3 linked regions of the Caenorhabditis elegans genome follow. The protein of the gene in region 3 interacts with the protein of the main gene of each other region in a pairwise test. Each region holds a gene or a part of one and is shown on either strand. Other genes may lie near its edges.

Region 1 (4,608 bases), on a different chromosome or scaffold from region 3:
CGTACTTTATTCCACATTTCTTCGACACGACAACTAATTTGAAGAGAGGACCCATAACTTTGAATGCATTTCTCGCTTTCTCATTTGAATCTTCTGAATCCGAGATGACATAGTGATTGAGACACTTTAGAATTTTTCTGGAAACAAAGGAATTTGAATTATACGTGTAATCTATGAAAACTTACAGTGCCGCTGAAGTAAATGAAAATCGTTTCAGATACACTTCGAATATTTTTGCAGCCTGTGGGTAGTGTCGTGGCTCCTCTGAAATATTAAAATAAATAACTTTATCCAAAAAGAAATATTTGAAAAAAAAATTTATGGTCAGCTGCACCGCTAGTTTTTTTTTTGATAAAAAAATTTTATCTTAAGAAAAATTTCTCGGAAAAAATATGGCAAGAATTTCAAAATTTCATTCAAACATTTTTGGCGGAGAATTCAAATGTTCTCTGGCAATTTTTCGACGGATAATTCAATTTTGTCAGGAAACATTTCAGCGAAAAATTGTAATTTGCTTAACAAATATTTTCGCCGGAACTTTTCTCTAACTGAACAAAATGTCAGAAAGCTGTACACTTACCACAAATTCTTAAAACCGCCACGATAACATCAAAAACGACTTTCTCCGAAGTCTCACGATCATGCCAAATTTCAAAGAGTGCATCCAATAAATGTGAGAAGAATCGAATCATTTCGTGTTCCGTATCTCCAATTGGTTGAGCAAGAGCCACCAATGAAGATGTAAGGTTGACACAATTTACACGCCATCTCAACACATTCAACAAATGCTCATTTTGAGTTAACATTGAAGAACATGAATGAGTGGATATCATCACAAAACTTTTATCACTCAAACTAAAACCCTGTGAATGAGGTTTCGCGCTTCCAATTGATTCTTTGAGTGTTCTTCTGGTATCAGGTAAGTTCATATAATGTACATTTGATTCATCAAAGTGAGATCCTGGATTATCAATTTTGTAGACAGCCAAGTCATGTTCACCATCACAGAGTAGAGCACTACTTCGAATGAGTTGAACATGTGCAATTGCAAATGGTCCTTTTTCTGGTTTTGGTTTGTCATATGCTTTCTTCGAATAAAATAAGATCCGAAGGTATACATCATGAGAAGCACATGAGGGAAGAGCAATTTTTATTGGTTCCGTCCACATTGGTTTGTCAGTATGATAAACTACAATACTCTTGTAGACAGTGCTAAGTTGCGAACCAGTAACCGAAATAGTCTCAAAAACATTTTCCATAACATGTCCATTTGATTCCACGACATGAAGACGTGCCTCAATGTTACGATCAGATGATTTTCCAGATAATTCAGCCTGCATTAAAGTAATATACATCTCATTTCGACTATCTTCAATTGAAACTGCTGTTCTATCAGCTCTTCGTAGAATCGCCGCTGGACATCTACTGAACAAATGTGGGTGTCTTGCCTTGATTTGAGAAACATTTCCAGGAACTAATTGGGTACTTATCAATAGTTTTGTTTCCATATCGTTGCTTAAATTCTTCGGTATACGATTTGTAGCGTGATATGCTTTTAGAGATAATGGAAGTTCTGGTTCTCGATTCAGGAAAATTACACGTTCTTTTGCTTCGTGGCCAACACCAGCAAGAAAGATGCTTGACATTTCCATGATGTCCGAGGCGTACGCTGAAAGTAGCAGCAATAAATTTTTGTATTCCAACCAGGGTTGCGCGGCAATTACTAACCGGTAATTCTACAAAATCAGGCAGTGGGCATGTTCTTCCAATATTTTTCATTAAAATTTAGTGATATTGATAGGCGAAAATAAAAATAAAAAAACCAATTTTCGCCAAAAATTGGCGAAAATTACTGGGAGAACATGCTACACTAGCTCATTTTGTGATTTAAACTCACATTGCCTACAATAAAATGTCTTTGGTATAGTTGCTTCGTGATGTCCATGCTTTCTCATCGTAGCATTAGAAGATTCAATCGGTGATACATGAACAACTCGAGTTACCATCAAATACTTTTTCTGAATATCTTCTTTTGCAAAATCAGTGAACAGTGCTTTCAAATTTAAATCCGTGTGTTTTCCACTACCGCTGTTCCAGAGAAATGTATAACTATCTCTGAAAATAATGCAACTATTGTCTTTTTCAGAAAAATTGTGAGTTACGTGGTGAACATTTTCTTGTCCAGATCATATAGTGATATGCTTATTTCACAGGAATATTTACAATGGAGTTCGACAGATTTAATGGAGAGCAGCAATGAGAAACTATCGTTGATTGTAACATTTTCAGGTTTCTCCCGCTGAAAATTTGAAAAATATATTGCTTGTAAGAGAAAAAATAGTATACCATCAATGATCCGACCCTTCCTTTCGAAGAAATGTGTGCTTCATATGTTCTAAGAAGTGAAAGTGATTCAACGTCAAGCGGAACACCCTCTTCATTGCGAATCACTACATCTTGGCCAAGAATTGTATTTCCACGGTCTACCAGTTTTGAAACGCGCAATCGGAGTTTGCTCAACTCTTCAATTGGAATCCCACCTAAAAGCATAATTATTTTACTATATTCCTGATAAAGAAACAAAATTACCACTTTCGATTTTAGTTTTTATTATTAGTAGTTCATTAAAACTATCCATCAAGTCTTCGAATGATCCAATCCTTGTCGTTTCCACCATCAATTCTTTAATTTTGGTCCACCATTCATTAATAACTCTGGAAATTTCATCCACAACGAGATATCCGTCACTTGTCGATACGAACATGGACTTTTGAACGATTTGTACATAGGCAAGTGGAAAAATCCCACATTTTCCATTTTTCTCGTCAAATTTTCGACCATATCCCCACTCTCCGTGCTGCCCGTAAACACATATTCGATCGCCAATAAAAAGTTCTAATCGTGGAGCATCACAAGATGGAAGCGGATCCTCAAATGTGTATTGAACTGAAAAATAAGATATTTAAATAGTTGCGAAGTGAAAACAAACCGATTGCATAATAGAAACCCGTCGTTGCCATTACGAACTCATTTATCTGAAGATTTAAGCTTGAATTTTCAATTAAAACGGACAATTTAATTTAAAACTACGTTATATTAATTTAAAATATCAAATATAAATATACAAATCAAAACGGAGACAGTTTCTGTGAGAAACAAACGTAAATATCACGAGAACTGTTTATTTCTGATGAGTAACTGTTTATCCGAGAGGAGTCCACAAACCGTGGCCGAGGATTTATGCTTGTGGAACCTAGGCCATTGTTGCCGGGAGAATGAATTTGGAAGTCAATTGGCAGAATAACCGTATACGTTTTGGATTCCATTGAATTTTTAACAGTTTTAAATTTAATATTTTAATAGTTAATGTATAACAAAACCGATAAAATGCATGTTTTGTCATAAATATAATGTGAATATCTATATTTTATGGTAACTTCGTGTTATATTTTTAAATTTTTTTCTATAGAATCAGAAAAAAAATTCCAGAAAACCAATGGAAATTGATGATCTAGAATCTACATCAAATTCAGTGCATAAATCACCACCCAAAAAACGGAGACGTGTGAAGAAGAAGAAAAGAAATGAGGAAGATGAAGAGTGTAAATTGGTTTTTATAATAAAAATATTTTTTCTTCACTTTGATTTACAGACGAAGAGAACAAAAATATGGCCACTCAAATAAATCAAAAATTTGGTTCAAAGTATAAATCAAATAGAAAAGATGAGACTCCGATGTTTGAAGTGAGAAATGGAAAATCAGTTATCAAAAATTCGGGGAATCACGAAGCAACTGTCAATCGAACTTTGGATTTTCACATGACAAAGCTTTTTCAGGTACGATTAAAATGATAAATCTAATTTTTATTATTAATTTTCAGTGGGAAGAGCAGTCAGACGCCATTGAATCTTCCTATGTGTGTGCATTGTGCCACGAAAATGGAGAGAAACGAGAACTTTTTGGACCATATTATGCAACACATAATCCAATTAAATATTGGCCATCTTTCCTGGCTAAGAAACCTGTAACAACCCATCCCATTCTCTAAAATCTAAAAATTAATTAACTTTTCAGACTGCCAAAAAACCTACAAAAATCGAATTATGGTTCCATGGCTCATGTGTTTTATGGGCTCCAAATGTGCATCTTCACGGCAATCAGCTAACAAATCTGGATAATCAAATCGATATTTTCTGGTCTCAAACGTGCATAGTTTGCCGCAAAACTGGTGCCGCAATTTCTGTACAAAATAAGAAAAACACGTTCATTCATTACCCATGTGCCAAAAACAAAGGTACAGACATTCCAGACAAAATACCTCCCACTCTTATCAGTTTTTTACAGGCTATAAACTCGACGAGCACGCTCTCTTGTGCAATTCGTGAAAAATCGATTCTCATTTCTCATCAAACAAGTTTTGCTTTTCAATTATGTTTTTTTTTCATTTTTTACATTCTCATGTCCCATGTTTTACCAATTGCACACTGAAACAACGAAATAAAAGATTTCAGTTTTATAATACAAATTTAATTTTATTGAAACTCCACATTTTCGCAACACTTGAATAACGATTCTTGTTATTATTGGGATGCAGAAAATTTCCTCTT
Region 2 (6,736 bases), on a different chromosome or scaffold from region 3:
AATTTTTCAGTTAATTTTCCCGTTTTTAAGTGAAAAATAGCTTGAAAAAGGTTTAAATTCGACAGAAAACAGAGTTTCTCCAAAAAAAAAACACCGCGTAAATCGACACAAGTTTAAAGGCGCAGTATGGAGAGTGAAAGGGTCTCGCAACGATGGCCCGGGGTATTTGAATTTTTCATAAAATAAAAGTTTTTTTCGTGAAAAAATGGCAAATTTGATCAAAATTTGTTGTTTTTTCGTGAAAAACAGTCGAAGTTCAGAGAAACTTTCCATTTTCCAGTTGAAAATAGAAAAAATTGACCGTTTTTTAGCCTGAAAAACCAGAATTTATTGCAATTTCAGAGAAAATTCGAAAAAAAAAGGCCGAAAATTCACCAAAATACGTCGAAAAATCGGATTTTTTTGCAATTTGCTGGAAATCTTCAAGTAAATTTTCAAAACTTTGAAAAAAACTCCAAAATTATGACATTTTTTTCTTAAAAAGTACTCTCAGAGGCTCTATAGCACCTCATTTTCCAACAAAAATTCGAAAAAATCATAATTAAAACGGTTTATTAATCATCCGGCAGGTTGAAAGGGAAAAGTGAACAAAATGGAATGGACACGAATTGGGGTTCGGTGGGCGGAAAAGGCAACGAAAATTGTGCATGATATCATTATAAATATAATTTGGAAAAAAAAACGATTTTTTTCTATGGTAAAGCTGTAATGTATTAGAGGAAAACTGGTGGAGGGGCAAGCGAATCAATAAATTTCAAGGTTAAAAATTTAGAAAAAAAAAACGATTTTATTCGCTGACGGCGGTGAATCTGAGGTATGTATGAGGCACCGAGCCAATTTGGCCGTCGAGTTCCGCTTTGTACATTCCGTTGGACATTTTCTGAGTTACAAGCACTGTTTGCCCCTTTTTCACACGCAATTGGGTCGGATCGTAGGCGTTTGGGACACGATCGAACGTCACTTTGGCTTTTGCTGGCAGACGGGGCTGAAATATTGAATTTTTTTTTCGGTTTAGGAGATGTTTTTCATGATAAAAATCGTTAATAATTTCATTTTTCAGTTAATTTTGCAGATTTTAGGTGGAAAATAACTTGAAAACGGCCTGAAAATAGAGTTTCTCCGAAAAAAAACACCGCGTAAATCGACACAAGTTTAAAGGCGCAGTAGGGTTGGTGGAAGGGTCTCGCAGCGATGAGCCGGATTTTTAAATTTTTTGAGAAAAAAAAAAAGTTTTTTTAAGTAAAAAGGTCAAAATTGATCGAAATTATTCGTTTTTTTTTGACAAAAACAGCCGAAATTCACTGAAATTTGACATTTTCCAACTAGAATTAATAAAAAATCATTGAATATTCATTAGAAAGATGGAAATTGACTGAAATTTCGCATTTTCCAATAGAAAAATCTAAAAATTGGTGTTTTCCGTGAAAAAATGTCAAAGTTGCCTGAAATGCTTCGTTTATTCTTGGAATATGGTCGAAATATTAGGAAATTTTCGATTTTTCCACTAGAAATGTTAAAAATTGACTGAAATTTCCATTTTTTTTTCAGTGAAAATTTCAAAATATGACCGAATTTTCACTAAAAACGGTAAAAATTGAGCAAATTTTTAAAGAGAAATTTCAGATCCAACTTTCCCATTAAAATTCTGTAATTTACAAGGAAAATCGTCTCGAAATTCGAAATTTTCCCATCGAAAAATGTCAAAAATTGACTAAAAAACGCAATTTTTCAGCAAAAAATCTGAAATTTGTGGATTTTTCCGGCAATTTTCCACACCTGGAGCTCAATATTATCACTGCTCGTGCTGGCGCTCGAAAATCGTTCGGCGCCACCTCCGCTGCTTCCGATCGACGATTGACTGGCGCCTTTTGAGGTTCTGTCATTGTGAAATTCCATCTGAATTTGTACATAGTTTGCCGGCACTAATCCAGTGGTTCCCAACGCGTTTCTCGCCTCCCACCAATCCTGGTTCGTTTTTGCTGGAAAAAAAAAATTATTAAAAATCTAGTATTTTCGAGGAAAATTACCGAAAAAAACTTGGAAAATGCACAAAATCTTGAGAAAAACGGGAGAAAATCAAAAAACACGGTTTTTTTTTCAAATTTTATGGTTTTTACAGGTAAAATTTCGTATTTCCATTATAAAATTCGTTTATAATTTTATTTTTCAGATAATTTTGCGGTTTTAAGTGAAAAATTGCCTTAAAAACAGTTTAAATTCGTCCGAAAATAGAGTTTCTCCAAAAAAAAACACCGCGTAAATCGACACAAGTTTAAAGGCGCAGTGGGGTGGGTGGACAGGGTCTCACAACGATGAGTCCGGGTTTTTGAATTTTTTCATAAAATAAAAGTTTTTTTCGTGAAAAAATGGCAAAATTGATCGAATTTTGTTGTTTTTTCGTGAAAAACAGTCGAAATTCGCAGAAACTTTCCATTTTCCAGTTGAAAATAGTAAAAATGACTGAAATTTCTTGTTTTCATTAGGAAAATAGTCATAATGCACTGAATTTCGCATTTTTCTACTAAACCGGGTTAAAATTAGGCGAATTTTGTAGAAAATCGCATTTTTCCATTGAAAAACGTAAATTTTTAACATTTTTGCGGCTTTTTGGATTAAAAAAATGTGGAAATTTACCAAAAGTTTCTGGTTTTCTTGAAAAACAGTCAAAATTTACCATTTTCCAATAAAAACAGGAGAAAATGGGTGGAAATTTACTGAAAATTGCTCATTTTCTCACTAACATGGTAACAATCGGAAATTTAAATTTGCCCATCGAAAACGTCAAAAATTAACTAAAAATCTCGATTTTTCGGCGATTTTAATTGAGAAATGGCTTGAGAAAGTGGTAAAATTTGGCAAAACTTGGTTTTTAATAGTTTTTTTTTTGCATTTGGCTTCAATTTCCCCGAATTTTCAGATTTTTTAATCGAAAAAGTGCTCTTAAAGCTCACAAAGAATCTCGAGCCGCTAAATCAGTGGATTTTCGGGGATTTCACGAGAAAACTCATTTCTCGTAGTTTAAATGGCATTTTCCGAACCTTTGGTCTTTCTTCTCTAAGAAGTGCTCGAGATTCCAGAAATTGATTTTTTTTCCAGAAAAAAACGTTATAATTGTGAGGAAATCGACATTTTTTCTTGCATTTGGCACTATTTTCTCCGTATTTTTAGATTATTTAAAGGTGGACTACGCTCAGTGGGGAAATTGCTTTAAAACACGCCTATGGGGTCACAATGACAGAATATCATGATTAAAAAATTCAAAATTTTTTTTTATGATTTTAAATGATTTTTTGAAAATTGAAAAAATCTCAGTTTTCACCTAATTCCTATTTGAATTTCCGCCAATTGAACTCGTTCGTTGGAGCGCGCTTGCATTATTTTCATTAATTAATTCTATTTCTTCTCATTATTGGACTGATTTTCTTCATTTTTTGTGGTTTTTCATCGGAAAATCGAAGAAAACAACAAGAAAAATGCAAAATGATTTTTTAAAAGTAACTGAAAATGCGTAAAACTGTAAAATATACTAATTTCAGGCTTGTCGTTGTCAGAACTCAAGAAATCACAGTTTTAGAAAATTTCAGTTAATTTTTAACAAACAATTTGCATTTTTCTTGTTTATTTCTCTTCCATTTTCCGATGAAAAACTCCAAAAAATGAAGAAAATCAGTCCAATAATGAGAAGAAATAAAATTTTGAAAATTAATGAAAATAATGCAAGCGCGCTCCATTGAAAAAATCCAATTGGCGGAAATTCAAAAATAATTAGGTGAAAACTGAGATTTTTTTTCAATTTTCAAAAAATCATATAAAATCAGGGAAATTTTTTTGAATTTTTTAATCATGATATTCTGTCATTGTGGCCCCATAGGCGTGTTTTAAAGCAATTTCCCCACTGGGTCCGCCTTTAAAAAATCTAAAAATTCGGAGAAAATAGTGCCAAATGCAAGAAAAAATGTCGATTTCCTCACAATTATAACGTTTTTTCTGGAAAAAAAATCAATTTCTGGAATCTCGAGCACTTCTTAGAGAAGAAAGAACAAAGGTTCGGAAAATGCCATTTAAACTACTAGAAATGTCAATTTTCTCGTGAAATCCCCGAAAAATCCACTGATTTAGCGGCTCGAGATTCTTTGTGAGCTTTAAGAGCACTTTTTCGATTAAAAAATCTGAAAATTCGGGGAAATTGAAGCCAAATGCAAAAAAAAAACTATTAAAAACCAAGTTTTGCCAAATTTTACCACTTTCTCAAGCCATTTCTCAATTAAAATCGCCGAAAAATTGAGATTTTTAGTTAATTTTTGACGTTTTCGATGGGCAAATTTAAATTTCAATAAAGCAAGTTCCCCACAGGGTTTAGTCCACCTTTAATCAAAAAAGTGCTGCTTTAAAGCTCACAAAGAATCTCGAGCCGCTCTCCTTGCTCAAACGGAAGATCTGTCTCTCGTTCCCCTGTGAATTTGAATGTTCCGACGACAACCTCAATGATAGGCTTCTTGTAGGCGGCCAGCAGGCTTGCCTCAGTCAAAACTCGCATTTTAAAATGATTCAACAACGCCGGAATGTCTGGAAACGACTGATTCGCGATTTTCACGCCAGCTGCAGCAGTTCCATCTTCTTTCGGTTCTCCTCTTTCAATCAAATAATGACAAACGGCATTTCCCTCGTCGGCTTCACGTACTGTCAGTGAATATTCACCGGGGCGTGAGCTATCCCGCATTAGGAAGGTGCCGATCGATACTTGTGGCTCGCCGAGCAACTTGTGAGCCTCTTCACGGCTCATTCCTGGGAAGTAGAATGAACGCCACTCGAATGGATCGAACCCGTTTGTCGTCATTTCTGAAAATGCGGGAAATTGTTTAGAAACGTGGAATTTTTAGGCGCGCAAAATTGGTCAAAGTTGGGAAAATTTTCTGGAAAACGTAACCCAAATAGACGGAAAATCATCAAAAATCACGAGAAATTCCTAAAAATCCAGAAAAAAAAGACGAAAAATCAAGAAAAATTATATAAAAGGGGAAAGTTTTTTCGGCTGAAAAATGCTTAAAATCTTGTTTTTGAGAGCGAAAATTTATGAAAATCGGCCAAAAATCACCATCTTTGAGAAGAAAACGCAAAAATCTTCAAAAAAAAAATCAAGAATTTCGTGGGAAAAAATATTTTAAAATGAATAAAAATATGATTTTCAACCTAAACATTGCTGAAAATGTGAAAAAACGGGTGAAAATTCGATTTTTTAAAGGAAAACGAGTCAATATAGGCAGAAAATTGGATGAAAAAGTTGGAAATTGAATAATAATTAGCGTGATTTTCCAAGAAAATCAAGGAATTTCCATTTAAAAAATTCAGGAAATGAACAAAAATGGATGTTTTTTTGGCTGAAAAAATGCTGAAAATCAGTTAAAAATCGGCCAAAACTTGCGTGGAAAAATCAAAAAATCAGGAATTTCGTTGGAAAAGTACCTTAAAATGGCAAAAAATAAGATTTTAAAGAAAGAAATTGCTGAAAATCGTGGTTTTGGCACAGAAAATCTAGTAATTCTAGTGAAAATTTCTGAAAAATAAATGAACATTGGAGAAAATGGTACTTTTAGGAAGAAAAATCGATTGGACACAGTGAAAATTTTCAAATTTTGGTAGGAAATGGCGAGTTTTAGGGAAAAAGAGGGCAAAATAGTTGAGTTTTTCGGCTAAATTATGGGAAAAATGAAGAATTTTTTTGAAAAACTGTGTTAAAAAATTGGAAAACATGGCGAAATCGAGAATTTCGAGCAGAATAAGCAGGTTTTTAGGCTAAAGTTCGGTTTTTAGTAGAAGAAAATTGAAAAATACGCTTAAAACCTTTATTTTCGAATATATTTCATACTAAATTTACCGATTTCTTGTTTTTATACGCATTGAAACACCAATTATTCGTAAAAATGAGGAAATTGATGAGCAATTTTCCCAGGCAATGACTCATAAGCTTCTTGTCGACTGGAGCCAAAGTTTACACATTTTAAATACGTATTTTACGATGCGCAACCGCAAAAAATCAAGAAAATCTCCGAAAACTGGTGAGAAATTGCAAACAAACGACTTTTTTTGCACGCAAAAATAAATTGTCAGCTGTTGCGCTTGTCCGAGAGGAGTACACGATGAGGTGTGCGGGGGACTTGCAACACGCGACCCCGCCCACTTTTCCGCGCCGCATTGCAATTTGAATTCGGAATTTTGCGCGAAAAGTTGCGTTTTGCGGGAAGTTTTCCGGGTTTTTTACAGTTTTTTGCTATAATTTTCAAGTTTAAAGGTTAAAATATCAAAAATCACTCAAAATTTTCCGACTTTTTCAGCAGCTTTCCATCCTCCGAGATGAGTGTCTCGTTTATGGAGTTGGGCTCGGCCGACTCGGCAGAAGCGGCGGCGAACAAGGTGGCACACCACGTCGAGCAGATGATGGAGACATCGGATTTCTTCGATCGCCTCACACAACACGGCACGACGCCCGTCTCCGGTCTCGGCGAGAAGTTTTATGTGAAGGGAGCGCCGGAGTTTGTGAGCACACGGCGAATCCCAATACCCGGAGAGCTTCAAATGCAAATGAGCAGTGAGAGAGCATTGTTTCCGATGGGGGGGTTTTTCAGCGAAAAATTGGTGAATTTTCAGATATTCACAGCGAGTTTAGCATGGGATTCTTCACACAAATCAGCCGAGTTTGGGTCGTCATTGATAACAATCTCTATATGTGGAATTACGA
Region 3 (6,428 bases):
GCCTACCTGCTTTATTTCTGCCTGCCTATGTGCCTACCTACATGCCTACATCTTAACATCTATTGCGCATCTGTTTCAAAATAAATTTTACCTGTGGAATGAAAACTTCTTTTCCCATTTCCAACGCTTTTTGAATAATCGAATCAGTTTGTATTTCTCCCGATGTACTAACATAAACTGACAATCTCTTGCTCTCTTGAAACCATTTCGATTCAATTATTTTTTCAAAAACCGCCTCTGTTTGACGTTGAGTTTCTTCTTTCGAAATTTTTCCGAGCAATGTCTTCATAAACTGCCTGAGCTCTGATTTTACCTCTTTTATAGCACTCATCTGAAAATGTTGGTCAAAAATTTGTTTTCAAGAGATTCAGAAAACTGTTAGTGGCCTGTAGTTAATGGCTCGTTATTCAAATTAAGTTAAATACACAGTAATAGGCATAAATTACAAAATTTATTATGCACATGGAAATGTTTTGCCTTTCAATATGGTAAAATGCACGTAAGAATGATAAAGCTTGAATATGATTAAAACTTTGAAATAAAGCTTTTGATATCGTCAGGGATCGGTGGAATTTCTGGTTTCTCCTCGGGGTTCGTGAGTTTCACATTGAGAAGGCGAACTCGTAGCTCCATTTTCAGCATTCGTTCAACCATTGCATCGGTTTCACTGAAAATATTTCAATTGGTATTTTCGGGGCTTCCTATTCTTCAGGTTACTGTAACTACAGTAACCAATGTCTAGATACCTTTTAACTGCCTTGCTCCCAATCAATTCAGCAAGACCTTCAAGCCATATAACAGATTGAGTTTCATCGGATGTCAATGCCATTAAAACTTCGCCTTCTTTCATATCATTTGTTGTTTTTAATTGTACACGAATCCCTCTTAACATTTGTGTAGATGGAGAAGAAGTGAATCGAGATGAGCTTGCTTTTCTATCAATCTCATCATTATTTGTTACATCAGCAATATCTTTGATCCAAACTGAAAATAAATTAATTTATTATTTGAGAACTAATTCAATATTCCCCCAACCTTGCCGAATATCATCTCTCTGCACACCTTCCACATAGTTCTCACCATCACATCCAGTTATAGTGAGCATTTTCTCCGATGCATCGAGCTTCCAATGCCAGAAGGCGAGCTTTGCGAGGGATTTACTTTTCTGTGGTTTTCGAAAAACGGCGCCTAACTTCAAATAGTTTAGATGATTTATTCGAACCAATTCCTCCATTTTTGGCCGCAATTTCGATTTTAGTTGTCTGAAAATATGTATACGAATAAGTTATTGGAATTTTCAGACTTACATCACAGCTTCACTATGTAATTGAATATTTTCCTTTCCCAATTGTTCCTCTCTCCAAATTTCTTGCATTGCCCTATACGAAAAAGTCTCCAAATCCGCAGATAGTTCTTCTACATCTTGTATTTCCCGTCTTTTCAGCACATGCCGTAACTGTTCCAGTACAACACACGCAACTTTCTCCATTTCACCTCCTTTTGCCTGCATCTCACGCCATGTTCGATGGAAAAGGTGTACAATACATGCGAATACAGCTGGAAATGGAGTCTCCGTGGAAAAGAGAACTACAATCAAACGATCCAACTCATCACGACCAGGTATTACTCTGAACAATTCTGCGGCAATGTCACAGCACCTGAATTTAAAAAATCATCAGAACATCTTTACGTTTGCAAAAAAACCTCATCCACATTGGAATCAGTTGCCATTTTCCTCCTTCAATCCTCATTGTATTCTCCGAAATTAGCATTCTCAGATCTTGCGGACTTTTTTCTGCAAATTGAACCATCGAAATTGCAGCCAACCGTCCACATCGGTGTTCCCCAATTTGTGATTTCCACATTTCTCTGATCTCCTCGGAAACATCCTCACTGGATTCAATATCAAGAATTTTCTGAACTTCAGCATCAGTAGGAGGTGAAGTTTCATATGCACTAATCAGACTCCTTTGAACCTCAACAAGTTGTTCAATAGCATTCAGATTTCGAACACCACCACCACCACGTAGAAGAGAACTGTGTACAGCATTACGGAATGGAACGACTTCTAAAGATTTAATAAGTTCAAATCGTTTTTCATCATCAGGACATCTTCTTATCATTGAATTCATTAGTGAAAGTGCACAAAGAGCAATTCGTTCATCTGATTTTTCAACGTGTCGAATGAGAGTCTCTATTGGAACTTCTTCGAGAATCCAATCACGAGTTGTATCGTCACTGTAAATTATACAATAAATAGAAAAATGGTACTTCTAATTTCTTTTGTACTTTGGAGTTGTTTTGTTGATTTTTTTGGATTAAAAAAATTGGAAAAATCTATATTTTAAGTATTTTAAGCTAAACTGATAGGTTTTTTTTTGGCAAAAATGAATTTTTGGAATTTTTGTTGATGAAGTTGATTTTTATGTTTTTGTTTTGAAAAATGTATGATTGTGACTTTTTTTCGGTATTATATTTAGCAAAAAATTTTTTTTCTTGGTTTTATTTCTATGTGAAGAGGATTAAATAGTTAGTTTTTTTTTGGCTAAAATTAATTTTTTTGCAAATTTTTTTTTCTGATGGTTTGTGATTTTTTCTTCCGTTTTTTTTGTAAAATAAAAGATTGTTCGGTAGTTTTGGTGTGAAATTGTATTTTGAAATTTTTTTCTAGAAAAATGGTTTTTTTTGGGGAAAATCCGATTTTTGGATTTTTTGTTGGAATTCTTGATATTCTTTTTAAAAAGTAGTTTTTTTTTTAGAAAATAGAAAGTTTTAGTCATTCGTGTTTTTTGAAAGATTGTAATTTTTGAAAAAATGGATTATTTTCGTTTCTTGTGAAAAAAGTTTTTGGTTTTTTTTCTGGAAAAAATAAAAATTTTTTAAATAAAACTTACCCGATAACAAGCTGTTCGAGCATCTGAAGAGCAGCTAACAACGTGTTCGCTTCTTCTCGTTTCGCTTTTCCAGTTACCAATGATGCCATAGACACAACTACATCATTTGGTACTGATTTCCATGTAAAATCTCCTACAGCTAATTCCAGCATACTTGAAAGTGCACGAAGACATGTTGAAAGAAGTGTTGAGCTCATACAAACTCGATCATCACGAATTAAACTGAACAAGAGTTCAAGAGATGAGCATCGATAAAAGGCTTCAATTAGAGCGGGATCCTGAAATTTAAATGAAAAAAATATTAGGAAAATGTGGTTGTAGATTGGGGGCAAGGGTGCCGGTTTTCCATGATTTTTTTTTTGCAAATTTTCGAAAATTTTGGCTTTTTCTTCAACATAAAACAAAATTTTAGAACAAATTGAATTTTTTTTTTACATTCTAAGTTTTTTTTTTCGTTTTTTTTGTCGAAAAAGTTTCGTTTTTTCAAGTAAAACAAAAATCGAAAAACCGACAGGCCAGCTTGGAACCGGGCACTGTACTTTTGGAGTAAAATTTTCATAATGATGGATATTTTAGACTGCTGATTTTTCTGGTAAATTGAAATAAAAAATCTTACCAGAGAAAACTCATCGAGAGTTTTCACAGCATTTTCCATTTGTGAAATATTATTTCCTTCTGTCAATATTTCAGTAATCCGTTTAACATAATGATCCGGTGATGCACAAAGTGTTAATATGAAACCACTTCCTAATGAATTCAAATTATCATCAGTTATGAATCTTTTCGGTTTATCAGCCATCAATCCATACGAATCATCTTCTGATAAATTCATTGATCGAGCTGCCATTTTCACGACATCCGTCAGTTTTTGTTCCAATAAATTGATTGTTATGAATACTGTGTGAAGAGCATTTGATGGAATTACAGCTCGATGATTCCATATTGTAAATTCTTTGTCAATCACTACGGCACCCTGAAATTTGGATTCTTTTGTTTTCAAGTCAAACAATTTATTCAAAATTGAAAATTCTTTTTTTTTCCGAAGGTAACCAACCTCTCTTGAAAAATCTAGCGTAGCTCCTGAACTCCTCGGGGAGTACAGGAGCGGCTTAAATCGACAAATACTTGTGACACAGACACATAGTTGTGCTAGATTTTGTACGGCCACTATTCAAATTTCAAGTATAAGGAAGTTTTTTTAAAAATTAAATTTTATCTGCAAAAATTAAACAATTTGAATAGTTTTCGGTATTTGTTTCAAAGGAATTGTATTAATTTTTTCTAATCGAAGTACACTTATTTGTTTATTTTAAAAAATTCTATAGTTTCCAGAATATTTAATCGATTTAAAAAAATCGAAAATTTCTGTTTCAGTTTTTTGATATTTTATTTAAATATTCTGGAAAAATTTCATCTTTCAAATAATTTTTTGATGGGATTTTCTTCATTTTAAATTTACTCTGGGAATATATTTTTGATAAATCTCTAGTTTTCAGCGTATTTTTATTATTATTATTATTCAATTTTCCTTTAAAAAAAAATTTTCTCAGAACTCCCTTTACCTTGACAACGTGCTCCGGAAGTGATGTGTCAACTGGTTGTAACTCCTTTAATGGCATATGGAACGCCATCTGAGTATAGGAAGATGGCATTTTATCGATTAATGATGATCAAATGATTCTTCTCGGGGACAACACACAAGAGTGCTGTGAGAAATAGAGATAAGAAGACAGTGAGTCACATAAACACATCATCTAGAACATTAAATTCTACACAAAAAAAAAACACAACAACGACATTAAAATATGCAACAATAGGTCATTCACATGGATGGAATTCATTCTTTTTGTCACATAAATAATATAAAATATATAATAATAAAATAATCATAGTGATAGGTGAGAAAAAGTCAGGGTGTTTGTGGGGGGAATTTGGGGGCAAAAATTGGGGATCTGAGAAAAAAAGAAAAGAAAAACCATAAGAAATCGATAAAAATCCAGTAAATTATGAATCTTGAAGTTTTGTGTGTTTGTTGAGAATTGGAGAAGACACGAAAAAACAAAAAAAAAATTAGCTGCAATATTGAATGAGCGAGCAAAAAAAAGTTTTTTTTTTAATTCCAAAGGTGTGTGTGTGTGTGTGGAAAAACTGATGAAAAAGGAAATAGGAAAGAACAGAAAAAGAGTTAAATAATGCAAAATCACAAGTTTTTTCACCACGCTATATTGGTTGAGAATTGAAGACGTATATAAAATATATGGAAGAATTGGGTAAAAAGTAACTGGTGGGGGAATCCGGGGTAAAACGATTGATGATGAGGATGAAATTGAAATAATTGAAGAAGAAGAATGGAGTGGATTTTGGGTGGGTGTGGGAACGTACATCGGTTTCTTTTGCTTTTTTTCTTTGGAAAACAACACTTTGATAGGTTTAATTCGAGTGGGGGGATGCTTGGGGTACTTAAAGATATATATGCAATAATTGAATGTATTTGGAAGAGTAAAAATTCAAATCCGATTACTATTCCTGAAGGAAGAGTTTCTCCATTTCGAACTATATCGGATGTGCATCAGTGTGAGCAACTAGAAGAGGAGTAGAAAATTATCGAAAATGAATAGAAAAGAAACAAACAATAAACAAATGTGTACCTGAAGACGGGGGAGCAACCTTTCTTGAAATAGAAGAATGAATAAAATTATAAAAAAAAGAAGAGCAAAGAAAGAAAGTCGTCTTGGTGCACACACTTTGAATCATCACAGATACGGAAATGATGACGGGGAAAGTATTTTCGAGGCGCGCGGGGGAGCATGGGGACGAAGAATGTGGATAGTGGGGTGGGATAATTGAGATGGAATGGCATCTATCCGTTTAGCTTGTGCTATTTTTGTGTAGCTGGGGTCGCATTGTTGTGCTTCCTCCGACGTCTCCTGAAGCAACAGCATTTCACTTCTCCACTTGAATTGTCTCCTGCAGCTGTTCGTCCTTCCGTATTTCGACTCTCTTCAACAACTTCACCGGCATTCGAGTTAATCACCTGAAATTATAAATACATGAGTTTTATATTTTTATATTTCAAAAAAAAATTGTAAAGTGAAAAATTTTAATTAAAAAACCTTTTTAATTTAATAATTTTAGACTTTTTTCTCGAAGAACGACGATCTCTTTTTTTTTTGAAGCAGAAATTGGTTTTTCTTTTCAACAAACAAAATTTCATGAAAAATTAAAAAAAATTTTTCTAAAGTAAGCATTATTTCGATCTTTCGACTTTCTATGAAAAAACCAGAAGTTCCTTTTTTCGTTTTCGAAATTTTTTTTTTCATATTGAAACAATTTTAATAGATTTCCACTGTTTTAGTTTGAAAAAATTTGCAAAAACCTAGTCATCCAAAATACGAACCTGAGTAGATCCAAATTGAGCATGAGCAGCTGCTTGACTGACTTTCAGCTCTCCACGGTCTGAAAATTCAGCTTATTGAGGAGATTATTCAATTAAAATCAAATCTTACCAGTCCTTTTCACATCTTTCGATTCTGA

What was found. Proteins that work in one complex are often made in the same cells at the same time.
Region 1: the proteins of ced-12 (region 3) and ced-5 interact in a two-hybrid assay, tested with the Caenorhabditis elegans proteins (2 studies listed by BioGRID).
Region 2: the proteins of ced-12 (region 3) and ced-2 interact in a two-hybrid assay, tested with the Caenorhabditis elegans proteins (one study listed by BioGRID).

The regions. Positions count from the first base shown.
Region 1 is NC_003282.8:10,482,537-10,487,144, reverse strand, and holds the start of ced-5 (Dedicator of cytokinesis protein 1), read right to left. Parts: upstream 3,036-4,608; 5' UTR 3,021-3,035; coding exon 2,990-3,020; intron 2,947-2,989; coding exon 2,590-2,946; intron 2,541-2,589; coding exon 2,347-2,540; intron 2,300-2,346; coding exon 2,163-2,299; intron 2,116-2,162; coding exon 1,898-2,115; intron 1,670-1,897; coding exon 581-1,669; intron 265-580; coding exon 186-264; intron 138-185; coding exon 6-137; intron 1-5. Other genes in the region: F01D4.5 (PHD-type domain-containing protein), read left to right, coding at 3,497-3,602, 3,653-3,837, 3,882-4,025, 4,076-4,295, 4,336-4,352.
Region 2 is NC_003282.8:1,595,421-1,602,156, reverse strand, and holds ced-2 (Cell death abnormality protein 2), read right to left. Parts: upstream 4,840-6,736; 5' UTR 4,838-4,839; coding exon 4,399-4,837; intron 1,980-4,398; coding exon 1,777-1,979; intron 986-1,776; coding exon 788-985; 3' UTR 536-787; downstream 1-535. Other genes in the region: npp-8 (Nucleoporin_N domain-containing protein), read left to right, coding at 6,352-6,586, 6,646-6,736. UniProt on the Caenorhabditis elegans protein: Required for cell migration and engulfment of cell corpses but not for programmed cell death/apoptosis. Has a role in the migration of the 2 gonadal distal tip cells (DTCs).
Region 3 is NC_003279.8:10,222,448-10,228,875, forward strand, and holds ced-12 (Cell death abnormality protein 12), read right to left. Parts: upstream 4,563-6,428; 5' UTR 4,547-4,562; coding exon 4,457-4,546; intron 3,868-4,456; coding exon 3,511-3,867; intron 3,173-3,510; coding exon 2,895-3,172; intron 2,239-2,894; coding exon 1,705-2,238; intron 1,659-1,704; coding exon 1,308-1,658; intron 1,263-1,307; coding exon 1,036-1,262; intron 985-1,035; coding exon 747-984; intron 668-746; coding exon 526-667; downstream 1-525. Other genes in the region: Y106G6E.4 (putative 5-formyltetrahydrofolate cyclo-ligase), read right to left, coding at 92-331; csnk-1 (Casein kinase I gamma), read right to left, coding at 5,773-5,928, 6,292-6,350, 6,401-6,428. UniProt on the Caenorhabditis elegans protein: Involved in programmed apoptosis and necrosis. Required for the cell corpse engulfment process. Has roles in the formation of actin halos and distal tip cell migration.